Caenorhabditis elegans: one gene and its partner. The protein of the gene in region 1 purifies or fractionates together with the protein of each later gene. This does not show direct contact. Each region holds a gene or a part of one and is shown on either strand. Other genes may lie near its edges. The genes, in order: perm-4 and mtcu-1.

Evidence for each region.
Region 2: the proteins of perm-4 (region 1) and mtcu-1 fractionate together in Caenorhabditis elegans (co-fractionation; one large-scale study listed by BioGRID). This does not show direct contact.

Annotation. Positions count from the first base shown.
Region 1 is NC_003282.8:1,123,069-1,126,992, forward strand, and holds the start of perm-4 (PERMeable eggshell), read right to left. Parts: upstream 2,040-3,924; 5' UTR 2,018-2,039; coding exon 1,961-2,017; intron 1,904-1,960; coding exon 1,756-1,903; intron 596-1,755; coding exon 135-595; intron 1-134. Other genes in the region: perm-2 (uncharacterized protein), read left to right, coding at 3,733-3,816.
Region 2 is NC_003279.8:14,773,353-14,777,276, reverse strand, and holds the start of mtcu-1 (TrmE-type G domain-containing protein), read left to right. Parts: upstream 1-2,269; 5' UTR 2,270-2,280; coding exon 2,281-2,347; intron 2,348-2,546; coding exon 2,547-2,814; intron 2,815-3,339; coding exon 3,340-3,471; intron 3,472-3,924. Other genes in the region: F39B2.5 (SH2 domain-containing protein), read left to right, coding at 640-686, 739-863, 912-1,030, 1,735-2,022.

The DNA of each region.
Region 1 (3,924 bases):
ATCGAAATTCCGCGGTTTTTTGAAAATTTATAACTTCCTCATTTTTCAACATTTTTTTTGTAATTTTTGAGCCAGATTAAAGCAAAATCACTGAATTCCCAACAAAAAAAAATAGTCCTTAAAATATTCCCCACCTGAGCAGCTGGAGAGGATCTTGGAGCACAGCACACGCACTTGACATTCTTATGATATTTCTTTGGCTCCCAGTTGGCCTCTGACAAGTAGGTAGAGTCAACCTTATGGAATCTTCCACGTCCATGTTTTCCGTCCTTCTCATCAGAATCCGAATCATTATCATCATCATCATCAGCTCCTCTCTTGGATCTCTTGAATGTCTCATCATCATCATCCTTGGTAATAGCCAAGAATCCGAAGAGTTGATCGTTGGGAAGGGAAGTGTCACGACGGGCGGTCTGTTGGCAGCAGAAGTTACAGGAATCTTCATCATGGGTAGCAACTTCGGAGCACTTTACACGAACGGCACGATTAGCTGGGACGGATGGGGCTCCACCGTAGTATGGCTGTGGGTGGCGATGATGGCGGCGGACAGAGTCGACGACGAGGAGCACGGAGGCGTCGAGGTCGCATACGAAGCCTGTAAATATTTTTCATCTTAAAATTCAAAATTTCAGCTTCAATTTAACTTAAAAACTGATAAAATATCTCAAAAACTGGAAAAGTTGTAGATTTTCGAAAATTTTAGAAAAAAACCATTTTAGTTAATTTGACAAAAAAAATTCCTGACTCAAATCAGTTTGTTCTACAGAATTTTAAAAAATTGGCTCTAATTTTACAATAAATTCAATAAAAAATCTCGAAAACTAAAAAAGTTATGAATTTTCGAAAATGTTCAAAAATCTATTATATAACTTTCTCAATTTTCGAGATATTGGGATGGTTTTTGTGGTATTTTGAGGGTAAATTTTTGAATTTTCAAGAAAAATTAGTTTTCGATAAAAATTGTCGAAAAAATTTAATAGCAATAAAATTTGACTCTTCCAAAAAAAAAAGTCCAAAATTTCAAAAATTTTTGAAAATCTATAACTTTCTCAATTTTTGAGATTTTGGGATGGTTTTTGTGTCATTTTAAGGGTAAATTTTTGAATTTTGTATAAAAAATAATGGAAGCTATCGTAACCTAGGAAAAGTGTGTTTTCTACCGAATTTCAATTTCTTTCAAAATATAAAATTTAAGCTTCAATTTGGCATTAAACTCAATGAAATTTTTTGAAAATTGTAGCTTTTTTGAAATTCTGCACCAACTAGATTAAATTTAATCTAAATAAATACTACAGTAACGCAGTTAATTTTGCCAAAAAATTTAAAAAAAATTAATCTTTAATTTGACATAAAAATCAAACAATTATCTCAAAAACTGGAAAAGTTACAGGTTTTCAAACATTTTCAAAAATTCTAATTCTGATAAATTGGCCTAAGTTCTACAGATTTTTTGAAAAAAAAAAACAGTATTTTTGCAACAAAATTTGAAGAACTAGCTTAATTTTGATTTAAAAATTATTGAAAAATCTCGAAAACTGAGAAATTTATGAATTTTTCAAAATTTTTCGAAAATTTGAAAATTGACAAAACTACCTATGAATAAGTCAATTTTTTGATGATTCCCAAAAAATGTTACATTTTTGAAATAAGTTGGCTATTGCGGTTCAAACAAGTATAATCATAACTAGGTCTACGCAAATGCGCTCTATTGCCAAATTACTATAGCTCTTAAAATTTGAATTTTCACGAACTCACGATCTTGAATAAGTGGCTGCCAGTATCCTGGTCCGAATGCTGGGTATCCATATCCTCCTCCATTTCCATAACCTCCTCCTCCATACGATGGACGACCGCCGTAGCGACCAGCAGCGGCCTCTGACTTGACCTCTTCGGTGGGTGTTGGCTGCAGAAAATGTTTCAGATTATCCTAAAATTGCGGAAATCCAAAAAAACCATATACCTTTGCACCGAGGACGGCGGCCAGCGAGGCGACTGTGAGAAGAAGAACGGTTTTCATTTCTGAAAAGCGATCGAATGATGGATTTGTCGGCGGAGCCATGCTTTTATAGTTCGGGGGGAACATGGGATGGGCTCCGCCTACAGAAAAAAAAATCAAGAGGAAAAGCTTGAGGAAGATGAAAGTAGAAATGTCTGAGTTGATGGAACGGGGAAAAAAGAGGAAACATTGAAAAGATGATCGATAGATTTGCACCATATCTCGGCTAATTTTCAAGATATCAAAAAAATTGTAACTAGACAGTTATAGAAAAAGTAATAATAAATAACTTGCCAGTTGATAATTTTTTGATAAAACCAAAGGCTACGAAGATATGAACTGTTAAAGTTGATCAGTAAATTTTTCATCGATGCACCAAAAAGAAGGGAATCTGAAGCATAAATAATGCATGTAAAACCTACTGCCAAAATTTTACAATAAAACTACTCTCAATGCACCATAATCAGCATTTTTGTTCAGCAGCTCGTATCCCTCTTATGTATTTTTATAAATATCAATTTATTACAAAACTTTGTAAAACTATGTAATGCATATTTTACGTGTTTGCAATTTGCTCATTGATATGTAAATTGTTGAAATTTTATTGGCAAATCCATAGAGAAATCCATTAGGAACACTATAAATCACTCCAAAGCTTTCAATTCACAAGGAAAGGAAGTCAATCTAGTCCCGGACTTTGAATCAGGACATATGCCTTTGAAAGCTTATGTTTAGACTAGATCACCAAAAAAATTTCAGCGGCGGAACTCAACTCTGAACCCCTGAAAGCGCCATCTGAAAGTGCTCCAGTGCATTTTTTTGCTGAATTCTAGGTCAAGTAAATGGCCTTAAAAGTGGCTAGAGCGGTTAAAAATTGTTTTTGGGGGTCTTTAGGGTCAAACAAACAGTGTGGAAGCTTTTTGGAAATTTTTATTTTTTTCCAAAAATCTGAAATTTTTGCGGTGATCTAGGCTAACCATAAGCTTTCAAATGACATACGTCTCGATTCGAAGTCCGGGACTAGATTAACTTACTTTCCTTGTCAGACAAATTTTTCACATAATACGTTAATTATCTATTTCATGCCCAAATTCCAGGTATTTGCACATTTCTCCATTCTCATTCAATTGCACTTTCACCCATCACGAGTTGCTCCATATGAAATCATCTGAAATGTCTGAAATTCCAAGCCCACTCAATCATCCCATTTCTCATATAACATGTTGCAATCAGGTGGGCGGCGGCTGCGGCCGGCAGGAAAAAGAGCCCAGCGGAATGTGTGATGGATTGAGCAGCGAAGAAAAAAGAAAATGGAAAAGCTGAAAAAAATAGTCGGTCGAAAAAAAAGTGACCTAAGGATGTGTTGCAACATGTGTCTGAGATCCAGCGGGGTTCAAAGAACTAATTTGTGTATCTTTTAGCAAAGTGTATTTTGAGAAAATCAACACATTTTGAACTAGAACACTGTAGAAAAACTGTTAAGGAACATTTTTCCAGTTGATCAAGTCCGAGTGATTCACCATGTATTGGAGCCTTTTGACTTGTTGGCTCAGTTACCACAGCTGTGAGATTTAATTCCAGGTTCCGTAGCAAACATTTTTGCGCTCCAAACCTTTTTGTTTTTTATCCAACGCCTAACGTTTTCCCCTCAAACTACAATGCCGAGTTCCCGCCTCCATATCTCTGGCGGATCTCAAGTATAAAAGCGGCGAAGCATCTTGGCTCCGATCATCATCATGTTTTCCACCACTTGGATCGTCGCGTCTCTGGCACTTTGCGCCGCTGTCACCTGCGCTGTGAGCACCGAGGCTCCTGAGAAGGTAAGCGTTACTGTTGGTTCTGTTGGAACTAGGAAAAACGGACTGTAAGGTTACTGTAGCTTGATAGATAACTTGATTTAGACACGTTAAAAAGTAAAGCTGTTATAG
Region 2 (3,924 bases), on another chromosome or scaffold:
TTTTTTTTCATAATTTACCTAGTTTTTTACAATTTACCATCATATATTTGAAAAATCTCACTGATTACGGTTATGTACATATATTTATTATTGTTTATAGTTTTTTACTTCAAAATTTTCATAAAATTTTATTTTTCTTATTCTTTTTCAATCTTTTTTTCAATTTAAAGATTAAAAATCTTTCAATATCTCGACCCCTAACACTGTACAATGTCGATTTACGCAGCTCGTGTACTCCCCGAGGATAAGTGAAAAATCAATGGTTTTGGTCAAAATTGCATGTTTTGCTTAAATTTTGGATTTTGGCTTCTTTTTTAAATTCAAACAAATTTGTCGATTGGCCGATATGCCGGAATCTTTCAATTACGGCAATTTGCCGATTTGCCGGGAATTTCCATTTTCATGCAAAATAATTGCTGATTTAATAATATATGGCGCCCACGCCTGGAAACAGCGACGGTTTTTTGAAAAAGAGATATAATTGCGATTTGAACATTAAATTCGGAAAGAATCGGATCATAATCTTCTCCTCGTGGAGTACACGACTTCCGTAAATCGACAATCTTCAATTTTAAAATTCAATTAATTTTGTTAAGATTGAAACTATTTTCAGTAACAAAAGTTTCCTTCAATGCTCCTATGCCCTCCAACAAGGTGATTTGTTCTGATCTTTACGATTGTGATTGGTAAACAATAAAATAACTGAAAAAAGATTTAAATATGCCTATTTTATTCCAGGTATTGGGGAGATTTGGACTGGAAATGGGCAGAACGGCTGCTCCTTTTGTGCCCAATCGGATATTTTTTAATTCGAGACAGTCGAAGTGAAACTCATCTTTTCACTGTTTCTTATCATTTTCAAGGTATTGTTTTTCAAAAAATCAATTTTTTCCAAATAAATATAATTTCAGATAGAGTCTATCATTCGCGCTTGTCACTTGAAGATTCACGACGGAATTTGGGTAGTCGGCAGCCATACGTCTCACGTGACTATTGGAATCTTGTGGAAATTATTGAGAGAAGTTTAGAGGTATGTAGTACATTTAAAAATATCTATGATTTTTGATTTTAAAAAAATCGGAAAAGAGTAAAACTTTAAAAAAAAATTGTGACAGGCCAAAAAGGTCGAAAATATTTTTCGAAGAGTTAAAAAAAATCGAAATTTTCCCAAAATGTTTCCGGAAATCGAAAATATATTTTTTTAAAAGCAAATTATTTTTCCGAAAAACGGAAAAAAACTATTTTTTTTAAGTGAAAATAATTATTTTTCTTTTTAAAAAATTCGAAAACTAAAAAAATTCAAATTTTCCGAAAGTATGTCCTTTTTTTCTCAAAATTAGAAATTAAAAAAGAGTATTAATCAAAAAAAAATTTTTCGGAACATAATTTTAAAAATTAAAATTGAAAAACAAATCAAACACAATACAACCATTTTTTTTCATAAAATCGAGAAAAAATCCTTTTTTTTTCGAAAAACCAAAAAAAAATCACGAGAAAAATAATCGATTGTTCTAAAAAAAATTCACTTTTTTGCAGAAAAAAATTAAAAAATCACCATTTTTGTTCACAAAAAAAACCACATTCCCGAAAGAAAATAGTTCAGTTTTTTCAGAAATTAGTTTTTTTTTCAAAAATCCGAAAAAAACTGAGTTTTTCAAGCAAAAAAATAATTTAATGTTTCAAAAATCAAAAAAAATCGTAGTTTTTCGGAAAAAAACACTAAACTTTTTTCAGCAATCCCTAACAGGACAACAAGAAATGCTCCACTATCGACGTGGACATGAAGCCGAAGCAGCGCGTGTCAATTTAACACGTCCACTCACAAAACGAGAGCTTCTACCATCACTACAGTACCTCTGTCGATTTACCCTGAAAACGAGTCAACAAAAACCACCGACACCCAAAACAGCTCCTCTGCCACCAACGATTTTAAAGTATTTGAGTGATTCGAAATGGATTATTCCTGATTTGAAGAAATGTGAAGAGCAATTGAAATTAAGATTTTGTGTAATTAATAATTAATTGTTTTAGTTTTGAATTATATCGAATTACGGGGTTTTTTTTGAATGCTTAATAAATAACTTTTTTCTCTCAAATTTAAGTTATATATTCATAAAATCTCGGTTTCTTTCCAGAAAAATTGTCACGGATCCTGTTTTTTATTAAATTTTCAAACATTTTTTTAAGATCGTGAAAATTTTGAAATTAAAAAAAAGAACCTTTCGAGTAATCAAATTTTTTTTTAATTGGAAAAGAATAATTTTTTCAGGCATTTAGAAAATGTCGACAATCTTCGCCCTATCGTCTGGCACATTGCCAAGCGCAATTGCGATGTTCCGCGTTTCAGGTTAATTTTCAGAACAATTGAAAAAAAAAATTCCATTAGGTTACGAATGGTTCATTTTGAAAAAATTTCTGCCAAAATAGCCATAAACAATATAAAAATCTCTGAAAAAATTCGTACGATGCTCTTGCGAAACCCCCCCCCCCCCCAAAAAAAGGCTTTCTGAGCTTACTGTTCACAGTATTCACAGTATTTTTTCCAGGATCACAAAGCCTCCCCGTACTCCGCCAGCTGAGCCGTCGAAAAGTTTGGAAGCCGAAAACGATGAAATACACGAAATTGTACGATTCAGAGAGCAAAATCATCGATGAAGCAATGGCGGTATATCTTCCCGGCCCGAAAACGTTTACCGGAGAAGACACAGCCGAGTTTTTTCTACATGGAAGTCAGGCCGTGGCCGTGAAGTTTGCCTCATGTTTGGCTGGAATTCAAAATGTTCGAGAAGCGAAGCGAGGAGAATTCACGAGGAGGTTATTATTAGCATACGATTTTCAAAAATCGGGGTTCAAACCAGGGATGGGCAGCAATTGCCGTTCGGCAAATTTTTTTCGACAAATTCGGCGATTCCGGCAATTTGCCGATTTGCCGGAAATTTCAATTCCGACAATTTGCTGATTTGCCGATTTGCCAATTTGCCGGAAAAATTGTTTGCCGTCCACCCCTGGTTAAAACGCGCTCCACGGCTAAAAGTTGGGTCTCGCTAGGTTTTGGCTGCTGCAAAACCGTAATTTCGAACGTTTTCAATAAGTTTTCGTTATTTTTGTTATGTTTCCTGTCGTTTATTAATTAATTTTATGTTGAAAAAATGTCCAAAAGTGCTTTAATTTTTCATTTAACCATGAAAACAAAATAACATTAGAGTTTTTGGTTTTGCCGCCGAATAAAAATTCCAAACTTTCCGCAGTTGAGCGCGCTTGCACATCTGTTTCAAAATATTTTGAATGCATTTAAATGCACATTTTGGGTCTCTATAATAACTCTTAGTTAATTTACAGAGCATTTCACAACGGAAAATTGAGCATTTCCGAGGTTCGAGGAATCGATCGGCTAATTAAATCTCGAACCGAAAAAGAACGAAATGCGGCATTTGGTCAAATGCGTGGTGGAGTTCGAGCTATTGAAATAAGGTATTGAAGTGAGAAAAATTGGAATTTTATATTGTTCGCAAGCAATTTGAAAAAACAAAAAAATCCCTCGAGATTTGGAATTTTTGGAAAAAAAAACTTAAAAAAAAAAGGAAAAAAAAAGATTTATAGGGATTTTTAAAAATTTCATTAAAACTTATGATATCGTACGAGCTTTTCAATAATACATTTTTTCAAATTGCCGGAATAGAAATGTCCGGCAAATCGACAATTTGTCGGTATTGAAAACTTCCGGCGAATCAGAAAATTGCTGGAATTGAAATTTCCGGCAAATCGGCAAATTGCTGGAATTGAAATTTCCGGCAAATCGGCAAATTGCTGGAATTGAAATTTCCGGCAAATCGGCAAATTGCTGGAATTGAAATTTCCGGCAAATCGGCAAATTGCTGGAATTGAAATTTCCGGCAAATCGGCAAATTGCTGGAATTGAAATTT